2 linked regions of the Neurospora crassa OR74A genome follow. The protein of the gene in region 1 interacts with the protein of each later gene in a pairwise test. Links are inferred from orthologs where the notes say so. Each region holds a gene or a part of one and is shown on either strand. Other genes may lie near its edges.

Evidence for each region.
Region 2: the proteins of NCU08385 (region 1) and NCU01670 interact in binary tests that used the Saccharomyces cerevisiae proteins (3 or more experiments, as listed by UniProt). The link is inferred for Neurospora crassa OR74A from reciprocal best matches to the Saccharomyces cerevisiae genes SDS22 and YPI1.

Annotation. Positions count from the first base shown.
Region 1 is NC_026501.1:5,510,682-5,522,351, reverse strand, and holds NCU08385 (protein phosphatase PP1 regulatory subunit sds22), read right to left. Parts: upstream 5,779-11,670; 5' UTR 5,510-5,778; coding exon 5,251-5,509; intron 5,130-5,250; coding exon 4,248-5,129; intron 4,184-4,247; coding exon 4,167-4,183; 3' UTR 3,704-4,166; downstream 1-3,703. Other genes in the region: xr (xylose reductase), read left to right, coding at 1,857-1,998, 2,316-3,106, 3,223-3,258; NCU08386 (hypothetical protein), read left to right, coding at 6,886-6,924, 6,986-7,322, 7,390-7,991; NCU08387 (hypothetical protein), read left to right, coding at 9,451-9,629, 9,690-10,120, 10,228-10,459, 10,546-10,603. UniProt on the Saccharomyces cerevisiae protein: Regulator of the mitotic function of yeast type 1 protein phosphatase.
Region 2 is NC_026502.1:2,745,106-2,756,245, forward strand, and holds NCU01670 (type 1 phosphatase regulator ypi-1), read left to right. Parts: upstream 1-5,509; 5' UTR 5,510-6,181; coding exon 6,182-6,377; intron 6,378-6,493; coding exon 6,494-6,858; 3' UTR 6,859-7,244; downstream 7,245-11,140. Other genes in the region: NCU01673 (hypothetical protein), read left to right, coding at 1-578; NCU01672 (DUF726 domain-containing protein), read right to left, coding at 1,186-2,807, 2,882-3,656; prm-3 (S-adenosylmethionine-dependent methyltransferase superfamily domain-containing protein), read right to left, coding at 7,318-8,786, 8,840-9,134; NCU01668 (hypothetical protein), read right to left, coding at 9,993-10,846, 10,987-11,140.

The sequences.
Region 1 (11,670 bases):
TACGGAACCTCTGGTTATAATTCACCATTGTCAGACGAATCACTTTATCATTGGACGGGAATGCCAACAACTGCCTGAGAAGACCTTGATCCGGAGCATGTCCCGTCAGCGCGTCCACATACTGTGTAATGCTTCCGGACGGGCTGTATTTTGATACAGGACAGGAATATCTTGGTCATTGAAGTTGCTTGGGTTAATCCATACCGATGATTGCAACAACTTGTTACGGGAAATGTCGTGAGGGAAACAAGAAAGAACAACAAGCGGAAGGTACTTTTGCGGTGGACGTGCATGTCGTTGGCTTTCCTTCTCCCACAGAAAATGACAGGCGACGATTGCTGAAGGTCACGTTGAAGGTTCGAGATTGAGGTTCTCAGAATGAACGTGAACCAGCGCAAAGCCTTACGGCCTTGATCTGATCCGTTTCCCATCCCCAGCATTTGTTGATCCGACAGTGAACAAGCAAAGTTGACAACGGACACTCCATGATATATGAATCTGCTTGTAGTTTCAGGCTTTCTCTGTTATCACATATGAAATAGAGAAAAGGGGTCATTGGAGACGTGAAGGAAAAGTTAAGCCGCAAGAATTGTCACCCATTTTCGCTTGTCACGATCAAGTTGAGGGTTGGAAGTTGAACTGACGTTGATTCCTCGGTGACCCACCCTTCATCGTTGTATGCATCAATGGGGGTGTTTGTGCCTTTTTGCCAAATATCTTAGCGCTGCCCCGCACAACCCCATGCTGAAGGACAACAGAGGTGGAGACATCTGTCAAACCCACTCCAGCCTCTATCCATCACGTTTCGCGCTTGCACATTAGCCACGGCCTCTGGTTGGCTCCGGTTAAATAGGTTAAACGGGAACTTGGAGACGGGCTACCGGGTCATATCCAGCCCCACCACCCGCAGCTTGCGGGCTCCAGCGACTCCAACAATTGCTCCAAACACGATTTCTTGATATGGACAGTATTGAAGATTTTCAAGGTCAAGTGAGACAGGTCTTGAGTAAAGGCGTTCTACCCTCTCTACCTAGTCACTCGGCAGATAGACCGAGAACTTGGAGAGACTAAGAGGGAAAACGTCCTTTGCTAGTTGTGACCAGCCCACTCCGAGGTCAAAGCTACCATCAAGGTACCAGCAAACGCCTAGGCAGGCCGCTTTGGCGCCATATACATACAACATGATGTCGATGCAATGCAGTCGGACGAACCCACCCCTTCTCCAACTTTCTTTTAAACCGCGCAAATAGGCGTTCAAGATGACCAGTACCCAATACCCTGGCCCCTGCGCCAGCTGACAAGGCTTGGGGCCATTACCCATGCCAATCATGGCCGGTTTCCAGAAAGGCAACCGTCCCTGGGCATTTCGAGTATCGCCGGCGACCAGTCAGCTAATGGGATTCCGCACAGCATCTGAAGAACCACACCCCAACACGTTACCTTGACATCCTGTCAGGCCAGATGAGGGTCCCTGGAAAACCAAGCTCCTGTCTGCCACGCCCGGGACCTGATAGCGGGTCTGTGAGGAGTAGACGGAGGCGCGGGAGGATGAATGTGGAAGGAGGTGGAGGGACGCAGTGAGGGGACAACATGAGCCGAAGTCCATCGCCGTCATAGCTCTGCTCCCCAACCGGCATAGTATTCGTCCGTGGATGGGCCGGGAAAGGTTGGAGTAGGCCACCCGGGTATTGTACATACACGCCGTTTCTTTACGAGTGGCCGGGGAAGTTCTAGCCTCCACCCACTTGACGGACAGCAGCAGCTATAAATACCATTATAGCCGCTCTACCCTCTTGCCTGGCTTGTTTGATCTCTTTCCGTCTCACACACTCCTCTACATCCCACCAACAGACAAAATGGTTCCTGCTATCAAGCTCAACTCCGGCTTCGACATGCCCCAGGTCGGCTTCGGCCTCTGGAAGGTCGACGGCTCCATCGCTTCCGATGTCGTCTACAACGCTATCAAGGCAGGCTACCGCCTCTTCGATGGTGCCTGCGGTATGTTTAAGACTTCCTACTTCCAACTGTACATTACATGATACCTATTGTCAACACAACGTCTCCCCTCGCATGGCAATCTCTCGTGGTGTCCATTCTTATTTTAAGGACACGAGGAGCAGCGATACCATCGCAGGCATGGACACTTATTTACACCACTACCCCACATCGACCCCCGTCACTTCAGCTCACCCTGCTTGCAGGAGGATGAGACATTATCCGTCGAATTCACCCCAAAGCCATAGTACCGCCATCAAAGACACAGTAGGCACGATGGCATGGTTCTTGTTGACTGACTCGAAATGTGTTGGTTACAGACTACGGCAACGAGGTTGAGTGCGGCCAGGGTGTAGCCCGCGCCATCAAGGAGGGCATCGTCAAGCGCGAGGAGCTCTTCATCGTCTCCAAGCTCTGGAACACCTTCCACGACGGCGACCGCGTCGAGCCCATCGTCCGCAAGCAGCTTGCCGACTGGGGTCTCGAGTACTTCGATCTCTACCTGATCCACTTCCCCGTCGCCCTCGAGTACGTCGACCCCTCGGTCCGCTACCCTCCCGGCTGGCACTTTGATGGCAAGAGCGAGATCCGCCCCTCAAAGGCCACCATCCAAGAGACCTGGACGGCCATGGAGTCGCTCGTCGAGAAGGGTCTCTCCAAGAGCATTGGCGTCTCCAACTTCCAGGCCCAGCTCCTGTACGACCTCCTGCGCTACGCCAAGGTCCGCCCCGCCACTCTCCAGATCGAGCACCACCCCTACCTCGTCCAGCAGAACCTCCTCAACCTTGCCAAGGCTGAGGGCATCGCCGTGACCGCCTACTCCTCCTTCGGCCCTGCTTCTTTCCGCGAGTTCAACATGGAGCACGCCCAGAAGCTCCAGCCTCTCCTCGAGGACCCCACCATCAAGGCTATTGGTGACAAGTACAACAAGGATCCTGCCCAGGTCCTCCTCCGTTGGGCCACCCAGCGCGGCCTGGCCATCATCCCCAAGTCTAGCCGCGAGGCCACCATGAAGTCCAACCTCAACTCTCTTGATTTCGATCTCTCCGAGGAGGACATCAAGACCATCTCTGGTTTCGACCGCGGCATCCGCTTCAACCAGCCCACCAACGTAAGTTTGATACTTCCTTTTGCCATTCTCTCATCGGCACCCCAAACTTGGCGTCAGAATATATATATATATATGTCATGGTATAAAAGGTATAGACTAACATGGCAAACTCACAGTACTTCTCCGCTGAGAACCTCTGGATTTTCGGTTAGGTCAACCTTTTTCCGCAGCTTAGGGGAAAAGTTGGCTTTCGCGCCCCCCATTCCAAAACCTTTTGATTTTACCCCTTGAATGTGTATTATACCCACAACGCATTTTGTATACGCGGGCGCGTGATTGGTATGGTCGCCTAGATCGCTACGACCTCTCACGGCCCGCACACACAATGCACACCACACGCTCATGGAAACATCAACATAACCATACCCCGACCATCAGAGACACCGCGAAGAGAGAAGGCTGGTCACCGTACCCTAACGACGGGATGTGTACATATAATGGGGCATACTGTCGTTATCTGCTGAGGCCCGGGGAAGGGCTGTTGGCAGATCAACTCTCCCGGCTCTAGGCCATTTCCTGTTTGCTTGATAACCTGTCAGCTATGAAATAGATGGGGTAGAATGCGATAGAAATCAAGATTTGACAAATCTTTCTGTTTCGAAATTCTTTTTCGTCGATCCCTGCTCGTGACATGAGCTGACTCTGTATTGTTTGTGGTGATTGTCGAAGTCGTCTATATGAATCTGATCATCATCGTACAAAAGCAGTCAATACTAGCCACTAGCCACTCCATGTATCAACCTCGACACAAAGGCGCACGCGACCGTCCTTTCTTGGATGGCCCGGTGGTTTGGACTAAGTTGTTCGTTGGTCCTTTTGTCGGTGAAGTCGGATGAAAATAGTATGGATGCAATTATGAGGGTGAGAATGCAAAGCAAAGGGCAACGGGTCTAGACGAGAGTAGTAACGAAGTCTACTGGGAATACATCAAGTTGTCGATTGTCTTGCTTCAACAACCCATCTAACGCCGTAGTACCATGAACGCCAGTGCCATGCTGCATGAACTTTGACTACACAATCATTATGCTTTGCAAACCGCCAAAATCGCCATTCATATACATCATACGCGGACGAAAGCTGCGTGATTTGGGAATTAGCAAATCTTCTGGAGTTTCCATAAGTAATGCCTGTTGAAACTTACTAGCATCAATCTGCTGCACCTGCGGCAGCGCCAACCGGACCTTGTTCCTATACAATGCCGGCGCTCTGAGCTGTAACGGGTTCCCCTCAAAATACACCGTCGTCAGGTTCTTCTTGTCCTTCAGTTCTCGCTCCACCTCGGCGAAGTCGCCGACCATGTTATAGCTCGCCCACAACTCCTCCAACTCCTCGAGGGGACCGATGCCCTTCAGGCTGGCGATCTTGTTGTTGGAAATGTCCAACACCCGCAGCTTGGTGTTGTTCTCCAACCCTTCGAGCGATTCGAGCGCGTTGTGCGAAATGTACAGTTCCTCAAGCTGGGGTACCTCGCGCAAGGGGGACAGGTCGCGAATCCGATTGGACTGGATGCTGAGCAGACGCAGCTTAGGAAGGCCGCCAAGGCCGGTGAGTTCGGTGATCTTGTTCTTGGCCACCCATAGCTCTTCGAGGTTCTTGAGCGAGTCGAGGTTCTGCAATTCGCGAATGCGATTCGACCCAAGCTCGAGGTTGCGCAGCTTGTCGAGTCCTTCTAACCCTTCGATGCGGCTGATTTTGTTGGAAACAAAGAAGAGATCTGTCAGGTTGGTCAGGTGATTGATGTGCTTGATGTGCTTTATCTTGTTGAAGCTTAGATCCAGACTGGTCAGATTCGTGAGGTCAGTCAGCCCGCGGCCGATGTGCGAAATCAGGTTGTCATAAAGATCAAGATCTTGGAGGGTCTCGGCGACAGCGGCGAGGCCTTCGATATCTTGGATCAGGTTTTGGCGAAGGCAAATGCGGGCAACTTGTTTGAAGCGCTCAAGACGCAATGCTGAGATGGACTGAATGCGGGAGTGGGTGCAAATGATCTCATCGGTATCGAGGGGCTCGTTGTCGAGGAGATCTGTAAACCAAACGAGCCGGACATGGTTAGCCAGAGGTTCGTTACCACCGAGTCATTTTCACTATCGTTTAGACATGTAAAAGGCCTAGTGTCCGTGTTTGAGCGCACTCGAATTGCTTGCCTTCATCCGCTGCAACCTCCTCGCCAGGAACAACGTTGTCATCGTCCGAGTATTCCGGATCCGACAAGGCTTCGGGATTTGTGAGCACAGCACTCTTTGGTACCCGCAGCTTCCCGTCCCAGCCTTTGCTATCTCTGAGAGCGGGGCTTCCTGCTTCGCCCTCGTGTCGTGGTGAAGGATGGTCGTCGACCAGCTCAATATGGTGGCCGGGCGACTGGCGACCCGGTGTGTTGCTGCCTTCTTCAATGGGAGCCGGCATGGTTGTGGTAGTATTTGGGCGGGTAGGTAGTTGGTGCCTGCTCTCGAGCGTTGCGCAAAGTCGCGGAATGGTCGTGGTCGTGCTGAAAAGCGTCCAAAGGTAAAAAAAAAAAAAAGAAACAGGAAAAAGAAAAAGAAAAAAGAGTACCGACGAGCACAGGGATCGATACTATCGCAATACTCAAGGCAGTGTTGATCAGTTAATGGCGCAGTCGGAAGCGGTGGCGCGCTGGTAATCAGTGGTTGGTAGTATTTATTGGACAAATACAGTGACTTATCATTTATGTGATGAGAAGGAGAATCTCCCGACTTTTTTTTTTTATCACTTCCTGATTATCAAACGAATGGAAGTCGCATCTACAGAAAATGAGGGGTCGCTTAGGTTGGTTCTCCAGTCTTCAGTTGGAATATCGTCATGGTCATGGACCAATTCCAACCACCCGCTGGGATGTCCCGTCATGCGCTAGTCCCCTTGGTTGGTCCCCTGAGGCGGACAAATGCGGGGATCACATCAGTGGGTGCACCGTGCAACGCCAGGGCCTGCCTTGTTGGGGGGCAGACTGGAAAGGGTTGGTCGTACAGGGGTCCTGTTAGACTCTTAACGGAAAGGGCATCAGGGCATCCCGAGGCCGTCTACCAACACCCGCATCACCATCGATCAAGACCCGACCGACCTCAACCGACGTTTACCATCCTCGATATCGACGGCGCTCACTGTCATTGCCGCTTCGATTTCATGTCTATGGATCATATCGGTCAATCTTCAAAAGAGATTCTCCAATACTGAGCCCGATCATCTCGAAGAGTGAAGGCTTCAAAAAGCCTCGGAAGGCCTGGAACCGCTCTTTCGAACAAATTACATTCTTTGCTGCCTCACCGGTTCATACAGTACATTATCGAGGCATTTTGGGTGAATCACAGAGCGCCAACCTCGGATTGTCTGGAACTTGTTCCACTGGAACTCCTGTCGACTCGAGTGCGCCACCCAACCTGGCCAGCAATCTCCGATTCGAAAGGAAGTTGTGGAGGTGTATGTGCAGAACACCTTGCAGGAGACTGAAGAGTAATCAACAAGTGGCAGCTGAACACGAGATTATGCAATGGAAACGAGCTGCGGAAAATCCTGCAGTTTGCTCGGGTGAGACAAGTGCCATTGTCTCATAAGTTTCCCCCAATGGTTTCTCGCTGTCTCGTGTCCGCCTCAAGGGCCCGGTTGGAACAACTTCGTGCAATCTCTTCACTTTCGAGCTGTCGTCACGGTAGTACCTACATCAGAGGTTCACGATATGGGGTCACTGCCGCGAGGTCTCTGATCGTTCCCCTGACATTCAAGCCGAGCACATTTTCCGTCGTTAGTGGCAGCGGCCGCACTGCGAAATGCATTCACATCCCGGCGGTGCTGATGCCGCCAGTCGTGTTCGTGGGGCTTCTGGTTGCTTTATACGTGTGGAAGTGCATGATGCTAGTTGTGTTCCAGAACAAGATCATATATATGCCTGGATTCCCTCCCAACTCACGATGGGAGCTCATCGACAACTACGCTAACCACTGCGGTGGAATTAAGTGGACGAATGAAAGGATTCAAGCGGCGGACGGGACAGACCTGGCAATGGCCGTTACAACCGTCCCGATGCAAAAGGGAAAGTTCCCTACAGATAAGAAGGATGCGAGGGCCCATGTATATGTTCTCTACTTTCAAGGTTTGGTTCCTCATATCAACGTGTCGTTCCGGGACTCGCAGCTGATATGGGCACCTAGGAAACGCCGCTTCGATACCGCCACGATTGCCGGATCTGTCATGGGTGCTTCGAAACGTCAGTAACAGCCACAACCCGGACCTGGCACCTCTACAGATGACTTTTGTTTGCCTAAGTTACAGAGGTTATTGGACATCCCGGGGCCGGCCCTCGGAAGCTGGTCTCAGGCGAGATGCTGAAGCCGGTGCACGCTGGATTTCCGAATACCATAAACAACTGTACGGACCAGACAGGGATGCTCCTCTACCCATTCTTCTGCTCTGGGGACAAAGCATCGGTTGCGGTGTGGCCACCAACCTTGCTGCGACAGGCAAGATTCCACAGAATTTGTCAGTCCGAGGCTTGCTCCTCGAGACCCCGTTCTTGTCGGTCAGGACCATGTTGGAGACGCTCTACCCTCAAAAGTGGCTTCCATACAAACACCTTTGGCCGTTCTTACGCAATCATTTGGATAGTTGGACAAACATGGAAACCATTGCCCAGGCCGCGAGGGAAAAGGGAAGTCCGCCGCCAAGTATGTACATCCTTGAGGCCGAAAGAGACGAGTTAGTTCCCCCAGAACATGCCGAGCGTCTGCTCGAAAAATGCCAGGACCTAGGCTTGCCGGTTGAACGGGTCAAGTCTCCGGCGGCGTTTCACAGCGATGCCATCATGAGAGTCGAAGGCAAGAGACTAGCTGCCCTTGGCATTGTGCGACTGACCCAGAAAACATTAGATGTCGGCTGAGACTGCAGACATCAACCGCGTAGCGGCAGACATCCAAACACCGGTCTGGCGGACATGGACCGCACAATTGCTCGTCCATAGCTGCGGAGCTGGCTATGGACAAGTGTGGTAACGGCGGGGCCAGATGGGAGAGAGTGAGCACTGCGAGGGAAGAAGGCAAACGCAGACGCCGGCCGTTTTCACTGGGAGGTGCCGTGCAGGCGAAGCAACTTGGGACCAATGTCGTCCTTTGCATCACATTACGGAGGCGCAGAGACTCTGATGCTGGCGTGGTACAAAGCTATTGCGTACCCTAGGACATGGCGGGGTTATCGCAATAGGAATTGAGGCTCTCATCTCGGGGCTTTCGAATGGGCGAGATCTTTTGACGACTTGGACTGTCCAGCGAGAGAGATGCGTATTGGGCTTCCCGTGTGGAAACATGTGCTTAAACAAGTCGATGCGTAGCTGACGCTGACGGCGAGTTTCAAGTGGTAACTAGTAATGATCTTGGTTCACCACCAGGCACCAGCTCATGCCAAGCCAAATGATGCGGCAAAATGGCAATAGCAGCCAGCCTTGTGAGCTACTGAATCGTCATATGGCCGGACCCCAGGCTCACCGAAAGACGGGAGTGGAGGAAACACCACAATCTTGGAAGGGAAGCTACGGGCCACATGTTGTCTCGGGCGTAAAACTCGCTCCACGCCAATCAACGATCCATTCCAACGTTCGTTCCGCTTAATCGCCGTTTGTATTATGAAGTGAAGGCCACCATCCCACTCATTCCCCACCCCCGGCCGGCTCTCCTCGCCCTTGCATTTCCTCCATGATCCGTCGATCCTATTCCGGGCCATCTTACACCATGAACAGGCAAGAGAAGGGAGGCCGGCCGATGTCGACCCCCATGTCAATGGCCTCGGAATGGACTAGCGCGCCATCAGGTGACCTCGTGCGAATATCCCGTTTCCCACCTCGAACACTTAACGCGCCAAATCACGTTTGATGGTGTGAAAGATACTGCAGGTTGTGCCAGCCAAGGTTACCACTCTATACTATACTACCCATCAAGGTTCACCAACATACATACCCCTCAGGACTGGCTGGAGCCTAGTGCACAAATGGAAACGACTAGGCCTCCATTTCATGCACAGCGCGTCCATATAAAAATGCATCGCCCATCGAGAATTGACGAGGCTCTTCATCCATTTTGTGCGCAGATTTTCGGGCTTCAAAGCACTCGGTACTTTCGGTAGTTAGACAGGTGATATTCGCCAGATATCACCACCAGACTGATAAGAAAGTTGTTGCCGATGCTCTATCGCCATCGATCACCCAAGCCCCCATTCGTGTGTTCCTCGCCGACACATACCACCCGATATCTTGTTGTATCGATGCAATCGATTGCTTGACTGCCATCTTCTGCCTCGAAGTGCAACTTAGGAAGCAGACAAAGTGGTCAATCACAATCGTCTCACAAATGTCATCTCGGTGCCTCGATATCCCCCACAGCAAGAGTGGTTCTAGACCACCGAAGCTAGTCAGGTCGAATTCATCCTTGTCCTTCGCTAAAGAAGCCGGAATTTCCAAGCGTCGCCATGATCTCCGTCATCGTCGCCTTAATGTGGCAACCGTTCCCGGAACAGTGGCTCGTGCAGAGTACGTTTTCAAACCGAACGAAACTCACTTCAAACCTACTTCTGATCAATCTGCTTCTAGTGGCAACCTAAATCCCATCTCACCCATCGTCACCCTCTTGATCGGCCAGGAGTCCCGCATCTTCGCCGCCCACGAAAACGTGCTATCCGCTTCGCCCTTCTTCAAGAACGTCCTCGACACTCAATTCTCCGAAGGTGAAACCAAGCGAATATTGCTTCCTAATGAGGAACCAGAGATCTTCTCCTCAGTTCTCGAATACCTCTACAAAGGCGACTACCACCCCCGCCTTGTTCACGATAGGAGACGGGACACGTGGGAACTGGAGGAGTCAGCGGCAGCAGGCAGAAACGGGAACGGCGGTCGGGAGGCTCCAACCATTTATCATCATTCGGTGGATGGTGAAGTGCTCAAAGACACGGTGATTTACTGCGCGGGCGAGAAATATGGACTGGAAGAGTTGAAGAGAATTGCTCTAAGAAAGCAAGGTCTTCGTAAGTACAGCCTAGTTCATTTCATCAGCTAACTAATGTCTTCCTCCTCTTCGTGCCATCGTGTTCAACTATCTGAACTGAGCTGACCCAAATATGCATACATGCAGAATGCGGAAGAGTGGCCAGCACAATCTTGACCTCCGCCAGATACGCCTACGCCAACACCCCCGACACCGACTCCAAGCTTCGAGCTCACTATCTTGCGCTGATCATTCGCGGCCGCAACACGTTCAAACGCAGCGGAACTATGCAGCTGGAGATGTTTCACGGTGGCAGTGATCTCTTCTTTGACTTGTTTGTGGCACTGTGTAATCATGTTGATGATATTTCGGTTGCTTCGTAAGTCTAGTTTCTTTTTAAAGTCTTCCCTGTCTTCGCAGCCAGGTTCATCATGTATAGAGTACGTAGTTTCTAACTCCCAGCAGAAGCACCCAACAAAACACTCAGCAAAGCTCCTGCAACGAGGACGGCCCCCAGCCGTAGTTCTTTAACCTTTTTTCTTCTTCTTCTTCTTTCAAGTTGCTGTTTCCACACATCTTGTGAAGGTGTGTGATTTCAAGACGGATGGTTCTTTTTCTCCAAGATACATTTGGCCAATTTTCTACTCGTACATGATATTACTCGGTGCTTTCTATCACATGGTGTTGGGGAAGGTTTGTTTACGTCGATATCACTGAACTTGAAGTTCCGATTTTCTCCGTTTGGAGCCAGGACGAAAGCTACCACGGCAAATGAACAAAAGTGAAATGCGTGAACAAAGCATGACTTGGGCTTTTTTGTGGTATTCATGGTATCTGAACGCAAAGAAACCCCGAAGACCGAACAAGAATGGGAACAGAACGCGCGTGTGTATGTGTATGTGTGTCATTGCGGGGCTTGAGTTCTATACGCTTGTTGAGCCAAGGCTATACTACCAGCACTTTTAACGGGTCGGGCCCTTATAACCGGATATGGGCAGAATAGAAAGTTCGCGTCAGTGCAGCGAGAATTGGAATCATCAAAATTGAACAGACATGGGAAATTCACTTCTTTGGTACCCTCCGATAGACTGATTGCAATGTGAAAAATGCCGTCTGGATTGTTTGATTTTTGGGTTGATTAACCGAAGAAAGTTGCAATTTGCGAAGACTTCACAGACATCGTATACTATAGTCATGGTTGTGATACAAGCTAGTTCCAGACCTCCTGGCTGTGCCTGATTAGATCGAAGCCATTTTTTTGTTCCTGCGTTACCGTGAAGTTCTTCACAAAAATGACCGTGAACAGCACGCCAAAGGCAGGCAGTCGGCTATGTTGTATTTTGAACCGTCATCCTTTGAACTCAGACGAAGTATGTATAGACGTTTGACGGCGTCTGCGCGAAGGACTTTCTTAGCCGCCAGGCCACCAACAGAGCAGAGTGGTACTCACATGGTAGTAGCGTAGCTTTGGAAGATGGGTACGACACGATTACCTCTCTCCCGGCAATGATTTTGGTTGAATTGGACCCGACTTTCAGTAGCGGACTTCAAATTAAGCTCCCAGTCAATTTCCGTCCACTCAATGTACCG
Region 2 (11,140 bases), on another chromosome or scaffold:
TCCCTCAATTCACCGCCCGCGGCGGCTCCTCCAAACTCCCTCCACCATCACAAATCAGCCCATCAGTCATCCTCTCCACGCCAACCTGGTCCGTCCGCTCTCTTCTTCCTCCATCATCCACACCATCCTCGTCAACCCAACCCGAAGAAAGCGAAATAACCCCCCAAACTCTGCACCACCTCGCCCGCCTCTCCGCCCTCCCCCCGCCCTCCGCCTCCGACCCTGCCTCCACCACCCGCCTCCTCTCGGCTCTGCACTCACACCTGCACTTCGTGCGGGCCATCCAGTCGGTGGATACCACGGATCCGTCAGATCAAGCCAAGGAGCTGGCGCCCTTGAGTTCGATCCGAGATGAGTCTCCGGAGGGACTGGCGGACAGCACAATTGATCTGAAGATGCTTGAAGGGGCGCTGGCGGAGGAGGATATTGTTGGTCATTGCCTGCGGCCGAGGCGGAGAAAGATGGAGGAGCTGAAAGAAAAGAAGAAAAATGAGGCTGAGGATTGGGATGTGTTGGGATCAGCTGAGCAAAAGGTTGGGAGATACTTTGTTGTCAGGAGTGGGAAGAAGGGGGAGTAGATGATCAAGGGGAAAATGGCCGAGATTCGTCTCGCGCGCCCTGGAGAAGGCATAAGGGCTGTGGTCTGCGTGGTCTGACTATATAGGAGGGCTCTGTATCTGCTAACTGATGCCGAACGTGTGGAGAGCCTGGAAGATTTGGAATAGGACGGAAAACCTAATGCGTTGATACAACACGCGGGGCCGGGACTTTCAGGCCTTTCAGGGAACCGCGTCAGATGCCCAGCCTGTCTGTACTGGGAGTTCACGTCTTCCGAGGGGTATTCAAGGGACAAGAATCACTGAGTGAGGGACTACCCGACGCTGTTGCGATGCAAACGCCACACTACAATATTTGATTGCTGTATCATACTAAGTGTGCCCTACCCAGATGATCCACATCGGCCGCCAGAGATTACTCTGGTATAGAAAGCTAACTGAACTGAAGCTAATCCTACAATTATTTAGATAACGTACGAATTCTGTCTCATTTCTTATGAGCCCTGCGTTGCCACCCCCTTGTCGTTGTCATAACATAAACATGAGCAGGAACTTAGGTCCCAAGAAAGCCAAAGTTAAACGTTCACCAATTCCCCCTCCCCTCCTCCCGACGAGTCGAATTCAGCGTTCACCTCTTGTTCTTCTTCCTCATCCGGGTCCTGATAATACCCGGATCATTTTTTGCAGCTTCCTTCGCCTTGTCTATCACCACAATTCCACGCTCGACGGCGTCTCGCTTCTTCTCACGCTCTCGCACCCTTTCTTCTGCGGCTACCATGGCTGCCTCATCTCGGCTAACCTGCTCTTGGTTGATGTCCTCCCAGTTGATGTGCTTTAGGATGCTACCGGCGAGGTACTGGTATCGGAGATGTCCACTGACCTTAGCAGAGACATCAACATTCTCGACACCATCAATACCCTCGATCCGCTGCAAACCTGCAACGCCAAACTGGATGCTGCTCGTCCGATACAAGAAGCCCAACAGGTAATCGTTCTCTGAAAAGACATTGACAAGCCGGCCAGAGACTACGCTCCTCATGGTACACCAGACGCGGGCCTCCGAGGGTGCGGGCGTACCCATCATGACGGCGTTCTCGACAAGACCGAAAGCTCTGCGCTCCGCCAAGACCATCAAACAGACATAGATCGCACGGGCGCCGAGACTGTAACCGATCAGCGTCACTCCACGCTCTCCGTGGGCTTTGTTCATGATGGCGTCGGCGAGAAGAGTTCCGGCCTTGTCGGCGCGGACCATGCCGACGCTCCAGGGATTATCGATAATTTTGTTGATCTTGAGCAAGCCGAGTGGCCAAAGGGATTCCGTCATGCTGGTGAAAACTGGACCATGTTTGTTAGCGCGTCTCGAGAGGTTACACTTTGGGATATTGAAAGGAGGCTCACTGGTCCGAGCAATGATTTCCTTCTTTGCCATGGACCATGCCGAGCTCCTTACGACAGTCTCCAAAGCTGTACCCATCTTCGAGAGCGAGTCCACCTCCCATCGCACAGCGTATACCTCATTCGCCTGTCCTAAAGCCCTCCAGGGGTTAGTGACGTCCGACTCGTCGGTCAGCCATCCACTAATGGCCAGCACTACTCGGAGACGACGGGCATCTGGCTGGATTTTGCCAATCTCGCCATCTTGGCCAATAGAGCCGCGCATGGGGATGAAAGCGAAGTCCTGTATCTCCTTGGTACACTGCTCCATCAACTTGACCGAGGTTCTGGCGTTGTAGATACCGAGCAAAGCGCCGACAACAAAAGCACTCTCGCCTGTCGAACCTAATATGCCGGCGGAAGCAGTAGGTCCAAGCCCGAAACCTCCATTGACAGATCCGATTCCTGCAGCCACAAGGGGCGGAGCGAGATGGCCAGGTATCCCAAAGCTGCTAATTCCAGCCATACTTGCCAATCCGTGCCTCCATCTCCTGGATGGCTTCCCAGCACATTCCTCGATTCTTTTTTGGATCAGCTCCTCTGGATTGATATCCTTGGCCATCCACGCAATAGCCTTGGCAACGCGGACCTCGTCATCAACGAGGACGCGAAGAGGAAGGTTCAGCGAAGAGGTGATATGGAGCAGCAGCACCCGAGTATATGCACTGTAATGCTCGAGTGAGAGCAGGAGGAGTAGCAGAGCGTGAAGCACCAGCAATCTTCTCTCTAGAGGCCAGTAGCAAAGCGTCGACGGGATCGGTGGGTAGAGCTGCATCAGAACAGGGTCGGACTCAATGTTGGAGGTTGAAACTCCTGTCATGGAATTAGCAGCCGTCACACTATCTCTATATACGTGTCCCTGGTCACTAGGTGGAGTAAGTACTCACCGTTAGGCCTGTTCCTGCCTCGTCTGCTGTTTGGCACCGTGGAGTTGAAGTTGGCATCTCCAGCCCGCTTGACTGAGATGTCACCCATTCTCTTATGTACCGCTGTCTGCCATTTCTTGAAGTGCAGCATGGCTTCCTTCTTCAATTCCTGAAGGTAGGGCCCGATTGTCTTGTCATTGTCCTGTTCAGGGGCGCGTTGGATATTCAGGTTAGATGGGTTAGCTGGCTGCAGTGCAGCACCCGAGCTGTTTTTGGTGTCTCGAGCCATGTTTCCATTTTCCTTTTGGCTCCTTGAGGTCTTACCCTTAGTGCGCTTCTTGGGGTTCAGGAGCTGCGTCTCCGCAGGGAGAGGCTTGGTGATGCTGAAATCACGCAAGTGAGCGGGAAGTCCGCTCCAGAACTTGTTACGAACCGAGGGAGCGTCATCGACCAGACCGGCTGAGTCGTAAACATGGGAAAAGTGCTTCTGCATAACATCGGTGGTTCTGGTAATGAGTGAAGTTAAGTCGTTCTTTTCCTGGGGTGACAATAGAGTGCTGAAGTCAGCCTCCCGCTTCGGGGGATTATGTCTTGGTCTGCCGCCGGGAGGCATATCGGCGATGGTACTGTCGTCAGAAGCTGTGTGGGAGAGGGTCGGTGAAGTTGGCGATGCTGCTTCGGCAGCGTCCTTGGGAGAAGGCAAGCTGGGAGGAATTGGGTTACAAGTCTTGAGGCCCAGGGCCTTTGAAGAGCGCACCGTGACCGCTGGCGCGGGAGCGTTCTTGAGTGCCGCCATGATCAATTAGGAAGGCGACAAGGCGCAATGATTGATTGCTCTTTCTGTTGTTGATTCTGGCACCTCAGTCCCCGCCCTACCTTGGGGTGGATAGGTCACAGTAGAGGTGATTGCCCTGACCAATTGGTACAGCGCAGTAAACCGGAGTGTACTAGTTGCGGTGGTGTGGCGAAGAGACGGACCGTATGAGTGTATTGTCTCCGTCAGAAGGGAATGGAGACTGCAGTGCGCAACCAGAATTGCAACTGGAAGGTGTGGGCAATGGGTGATTGCCAGCTGAGGGTGGAGTGAGTCCAGTCGCCTTGTGGTCTGGCAGATCTTTGTGACAGGTGACTTCCCAGCCTGTTGAGTTCGCTCTCAGATTATGCTTCCCCGCTAGGAAAGATAGAGGGAAAGAGCGATGGTCATTCTGTCTCGAATTGTTTGCTGTCTTGGGGGGGGGGGGGGGGGGGCAGGCAGTTGTACTGCGGTACCACGATGATGTTCGCTTAGGCTAACCTTGACGTTACAGGAGCCAGCCAGACTGTCACGAGGCCACGAAAGAGTGTCGTTCCTGCGGGTTTTTAGGCTGGATGACCAGGCACGGGTATGTCGAATATTATGATCAGAGAATGCGGTCGCGCCAGGCGGTGTGGAGGGGAAACAGACAGAGGAAGGAAGAAAGGCCGAGAGGTCGGGCGTTGTTGTAGATAAAGTAAGATGGATTCTATGGGAAAGGGTCCTGGTCCCAAGCCGGGGGCGGGGATGCAAGGTGGGTGGGTGCAGAAGGGACCTGGGATATACAGAGATTCGTTGGTCGGGAAGGCCGCTGGGGATCGTAAAGGTCCATGGACGGAAAGAAAGAGCAGGAAAGGGCAGAGAAAGGCAGTCCACGCAGTGAAGGGCAGCTCAGTTAAGGGCAGGCAAAAGCAGGATCCCGGTGGAAGCTGGGAGTGTTCTACGCGTGGGCCGACTGCCGGAAGCTTTGCCAACAGCAAAAGGACGGCAATGAGGACCAGTGGTGTTTGGCAAGCATCGAAACTCCCGTTGTGTGACGCGGGAGAGGCGGGGTGTTTGGTGGTGGTCTAGTTCTGAGGCAGCACAACGTCCAAAGAGGTTCACAACCTAAGCTCAAGGATCACGGACATAAGATCATTCCATTGTGCTGCCATACCAGCTGCTGAACACGAACATCCAAGTGGCATTCAAGGTGAGAAGGGTTCGCAAGCTTGACTATAGGCTGCAGTGGGCTGGACCGGCACCGCTCTCTATTGTTGAGTTGCTATGGCACGCAAGCCTAGCCGCGTGAATGAGAAAACGCACCGCGGAGCTGAGGACTAACTGAGCAAGCCTTGATGGATATAAAAAGGACACTAAAGAATATGTGCTACCCTTTGGTACGGCCTCAGTCGTCAGTCAACATCCAAACCTCCCATCCTCAGCCTTTGACATGTAAGTGGAAGCGGACGCAATTGCCCGAAGACCAACGAAAAACTTCAAAGGCCCATCACGCACATGTAGTTAAAGCATATGCCATGGACATATGGACACCCAACAAACTATTTTGTTTGTTTGCAGCGGTCCCTTCCCGATCATACAATGAGGCTCAAATCAGGGGTGTTGTTGGAACTTTGGTTCAGGGTTGAAGCAACTTGAATGATCTGCCTTCAGGGTTGTGAGGGAGAACAGTGCGGACGCTTGCGCTCGACCTATCAGGGGACCCTTGTCAATTCGACTTCCTTCCCGCAGGCGATCTTCGCCCCACCTTTTGATTGGGTGCCCTGCATTGACTCTTGGGCTTTTATTTTGGCAGAGGAATGTGGAAGGTGGAATGACGAAGGGAAGCGGGGACGTGGGGGAAACGGGAAGAGTACTGCGTACATAGCGCCAAAACCGAAAACCTTCAGCGGCTGCGATTCTTCCGTCATCAAAGGTTGCTCTAACGGCCATCGACCCACACTACACCGAGGCGTGTTAAGTAACGTGTCCCACACTGAATGCACCACACCTACCTCTAGGTATACTACGTACTACACCCAACACACCTTCAAGTTCGTTCGTCTTCGGCCTACGGTATTCAAGTCTAGAAGGTACTGCAACCTGCCGACCAATACCCATTGCGCGACGGGTCAAGGGAGACAGACAGGCCGAGAGCTAGCTTTCAGATCGAGATAACAGAACAGCCTGGAACCCCGCGACAAGAGTCGCATGAAAATTCCAGTTCCTGCCAGGCACGCTCCTCGTCAGCAGCGGCGATCACACAAACTTCCCCAGACTCCGTCAGACCGCAATTTTTGTCGCATGACCGGACGGCCTTCAAACGACGATCACCTAACTCTTTTCTCGAACAGACCACACCACCCTTGAAACCGCGCCTTTGTAGAGAAGAAAAGAAAAAAAAAGAAGAAGAAGAAAAGAAGCGCTCCCAAAACCTCATCTTCTCCCGGACCCGACTACCTCTACGACTACCTACCGCATACATACAACCACCCGTTCAAACACATACGTCCCAAAAACACAACAGCAAACTTTGATACAATCACACAATGACCTCCGTCGCCCAACGGCAAGCGCAGCCTGCGCAACCGTCCACCAGCCAAACCGCTGCCCCAACCCGAACCCAAACCGAGACCTCTTCTCCGGCCATCTTGCGACTTCGCGGCGCACACTCGAACGGGCGATCTGTACAATGGCGTAGCGATGTCGTTGACAACGAAGGTCTCGGCAGGAAGAAGTCCAAAGGTTAGTTGATTTGGGTTCTCCATCTGCCCCCCCACTCTTCAATTACCTTGCGCGCATACATACACACTCTGACAAATACATATGCTAACACCACCGGCGTGCCATGAACAAAACAGTCTGCTGCATCTACCACCGACCAAAAGGCGTAGACGAGTCCAGTGACGATTCTTCTTCTTCCTCCGACTCTTCATCCTCCTCCGATTCCGACTCGGACCCAGAACCTGACCAAGATAAACGAATCACATCCGGCGGTGGTAGTAGTGGCAGGGGCCACCGGCATTCCCATGATCATGACCATGATGGCCGGGAGGGTGGTTGTAACCACGACCATGGACGTGGGAGGAAACACGGCAATAAAGGAAAGAAGACGGAAAGGAGGCCGAGCCCAAATGCGTATGAGAAAATGCCCAAGTATAAGCCGAAGGATGGAGGGGCTGGGCCTTCGAATTCAGAGACGCAAGGTCCTGGGGGAAGTAAATGATGCAGGGAACAACACGAACGTATGTTCGAAAGTCGAATTTCTTTTTGGGGGCAATTGTTAGATACCATGGGAAGAAAAAATATGAGCACGAAGGCTGGGTTTGTCTTGGTTTTGGCTTTCTGAAGCCATAATGAGCACGTGTATGGGCTGCTTCTCGTTAGATATCATTCTTCGCTAAGTGTCCTTGTTATTGGACTTCACGAGTCAAATAACGATCGATATACACATGTATCTCACTATAGCGGCCTCAGATATTCGAGACATCCAGCAACGCAGAATTGTGCTACTGCATTCTAACAGATTTGCCTATAGACACCATAAGTGACTCTATCTTATGTAACGGCTATACAGAGCTTCCCAATGTTTAAGATCGTACAAGAAATCTAACCCATCCATGTAAAGACAACCCTTCCAGACCTTTTTAGCTCACAGCGCCAGACGCCACTCAACGTTATCCCACTAGTGCAACAGCCAAGTCTGAGTCTGCTCCTTCTCACCCTCGGCAGCCCAAGTAACCCTCAAGTTCAATCCGCGCTCGTGATTCTCGGCGGTGATATACTCAATCTCGCCTGCAATCTTCTTGCCAGGAGCCGGCTTCGTCTCCTTGACCTTGTTCTTGTCCAACAGCATCAGGCCCTGTCGCCAATGGGTAGGCTCACCAAACGGTCCGGTAGTAAACGCCACCCGGGCGTCCTTATCGCCGCCCTTGCCGGCCGTCTCAGCCACCCACTCCTGCGCCTTGGTGTCCAGCTTGATGGACTCGTCGACGCGGTTGCGCGCAAAGAAAACGTCCCACCAGACGAGGAAGCCGTCGTGGCTCTCGGCCTTGTCGTCGAAGGCGCTCTGCCACTTAGCCGTGAACACGAGGTCCTCGACCTTGACGGTGTGGAAATCCAACAACCCGAACGAGGCCGGGGTGCCGCACACGGTCTCGGCGGGACGAACCTCCATCCGGCAATCCTCGTAGATGCCCTTCTGCATCACCTTCATGTCGAAGCCGTACACGTCGCGCCAGAAGTCAACGTACTCGGCAATGTACTCCTGTTCCGACACGGGCGCGATCCACATGTTGCCGTGGCTGGGGACGAGCAGACCTTGGGGAGCCAGGTACTTGTCGCGCGCCCACAAAACGCTGTTGAGCATGGCCTCGTACAGCAAGCAGTAGCCCATCCACTCGGACACAATGATGTCGACCTTCTCGACGGGGAGGATCACCTCCTCGATGCGGCCCTTGAGGGTAACAATCACGTCCGAAAGCCCGTTGGCGTAAATGTTCTCGCGCGCCTTGTCGATGATTTCCGAGCGGTCGACGGCGATAACCTGCTTCGCACCCGCCTTGGCGCAGAACATGGACAGGATACCCGTGCCGCAGCCAATGTCGAGGACGACCTTGCCGGCGAAGAGGTCCTTGTTCTGGTAGATGAAGTCGCGGTAGGCTTCGGTGCGGACCGTGTCCTTGAGCATGGTCTCGTGGATGTCGTTGTGCGCGTATGACTCGAAGTAGTAGTCGGAAGCACCCTCCTTGGCGGCAGGACCCTCGGGGGCCGGACCTGAAGGCGCAGCAGCAGCAGCAGCGGCGGCGGCCTTGCCCTTGGCAGCATCCTTGTCGTCGTCATCAGCCTGCCAGCGCTGATCGAGGGTCTGCTGGACGGCAAGGCGGTAATTGGAGAACTGCTTGGACAGCTGCTCGAGCTGAGCCTGGAGCTCGGCGTTCTTTTGGATCAACTCATCCACAGCAGGCGCATCCGCGCCCTTCTGGGTGCCGGCAGCAGAAGCCTCAGCGCCGGTACCGCTGGACTCAGGGAGATCATCCAGGCACAAAATCAAGGCGTCGTCATCAAGGACGGGCTTGAGATAGCGGTCATCCTCCAGATCGGCGGCAGTGATCTCAGCGGGAAGAGGGACGCCTTCGTGAACCTTGGAACGGACTAATATGTTGTCAGCAGGCTGCCTATTTAGCTTGTGGAGACTGGAGACCTACTGAAGTTGATAAGTTTGATCAAGCCGTAGAAATCCAAGTTGAGACGGTCGCGAATGGCAAGGAAATCAAGACCCTTATCCTTGCAGTAGTTCAGCATGGAGACAACGTCGGGGAAGACATGGTCGTCGAGCAAGGAGATGATAGCGGGGGCCTCCTCTTGCTCCTCGTCTTGGTCGAGCCACTCATCCTCGTCGCCAGAAGAAGAAGAGGCATCGGAGCCAGAGTCAGAGGCGGAGCTATAGTCGTTACGACGGGGTTCGGACTGAGCCGCCGAAGTTGAAGCTTGAGCGGCCATGATGTGGTGGTTTGCCTCGAGGTACTTGACTTTGCTATGTCAGGTACAAAAATGTGAACAACAACCAAGGTCACAACAAGAAACGTGGTTCTTGAAAGTGGGTTGTGAGAATGTTGGAGCCTGGTCGTCAAGGTGCGCAGGCTTTGAAAAAATCAGAAATTTCCACTTGTGTAAATTGGTAGTGTAAAGCAGTACCTCATTAGGTTGGCTGCAGTTGCAGCGTCGCCCAAAAATTGCGGGGAAACACATGCCGATAACGAACGCCTGTTAGAACATCGAGAACCAAAGACGTTCTCGTAATTAAAATGTACAAATATGCTAATAATTTCCGTTCGTTTATTGTTACCTTCTTCCTGATTGTTTCTGTACATGCCGAAATGGTGTAGTAATGATTCAAGGACCAAGCTTCTTGGGCCTTTGGCGGATTATGTCGTTCTCCAACAAACCACCCCAAGATCCAGCCCCTTTCCCAGCTTCAGATCCAGTTGCCTCGGCAACCAGCCTTTCCAGAAAGACAGAAAAGAAGGTATTGTCTGATCCAGTACGCCCTTTCTCTTGATCATGTAATCATGAGAAAATACAGTGTAAAATCTACAGTATCAACTAGCAGCCCGTCGCTCTATGTGCTCTTGTTGCTCCCTTGCCAATCGTGCCTGCAAATTATTCAACCCCCAACAACGCCAGTAACTCCTTCACATAACCCAGAAGACAAAATCAGGTATTCGATGAAAAACAAGGAATGGAGAAGAGGTCCCAACAAAGAGCACTCCAGCAATATTCCAACCTAACACTTCAAGAAATTCAAGCAAGCAAACCGTCCTGAATCCAACCCATAAGCAAATCTCTCGTATGTCTTTCTCAGAGGCGGACGCTCGCTCCTATTCCCCTTCCAACATACCACAGCGTCTCTGTCCAGGATCCAATCCTGACACTGACAGTAGCCTTCGCATCAAGCTTCAGCCTACCACCTAATGCTTCCTTCACCTTATCACGTCCAACCGAGTCCAGAGACCAGTCCACCGGCAACCTAGGCGTGGTGGACACCCCCGGAGGGCAACCAAACGGTGAATCATACTTGATTCGTCCGATTTCCTCCGTGTGATTGTACAGGGCTGTAGCATTGATGTGCTCGATATAAATCGTGTTTCGTGAGAAGGGCGAGGCTAACGTAAATGTGGCTTGAGAAGAGAATATGTGAAAGGTCGCGCCTCGAATAAAGTGAGGAGCCGTATCATTGGTGCTACCGTCCCCATCGTGTCGTCCACCTTCATCGTCGCCAGGCACGCTAAGTCTAGGCATTGGGAGCGTAAAGTTGAATTTTGACAGCGCTTTGCCCAGCTCTGGCTTTGATGGAATAGTACCCAGATGTGTTCTAAGCGTCACGGTTGTGTTATAACCGGATATGTACTGCGAAATCAAATCCCGGCCGATTTGCACGCCATCTTCTCCGGCCAAAGAAGGCCTCCATAGTGCCGTCACTTTCAGGTTTGTATTGTTTCCACGCTTGATTGTTAGTCTCTTTGCACGCGCCTCGCCGAGAACAGTTCCATTTTTCAAAATGTTGATGCTAATCCAAGGAATGTAGGCCGCGTATGGAGTAGGGTTGGTTACGTTAACTGACGCCTGTAGAGATATTGAGACTGGGCTAGTGTCAACAACTTCCAGTTCTCCCACTTGAGGCTGCATAGAGCCGAGAAGATCGTTTCCAAGGGCTAGTGAAGGAGCGAGATGTCAGTTTTCTGAGATGTCCATGAGGTATGCGTGAGCGACTGATGGATAGCATCGACAAGAGATGCATAATCGCCAACAGTAGCAAGGTGACTGACAAAGTATCATTGGAGAAGAGACGGACGTTTGAGCGGAATTCTGCCCTCCGCGGGGACACCCTTCACCACAAATTGTCCAAGAATTGTATGTACGCCAACGTCGACAAGAGCGCTGATGTCGAGAATGACATCGGTGTCACCAAAAAGGAGGGCCTGAATAACATCGGTCAACACGTCATC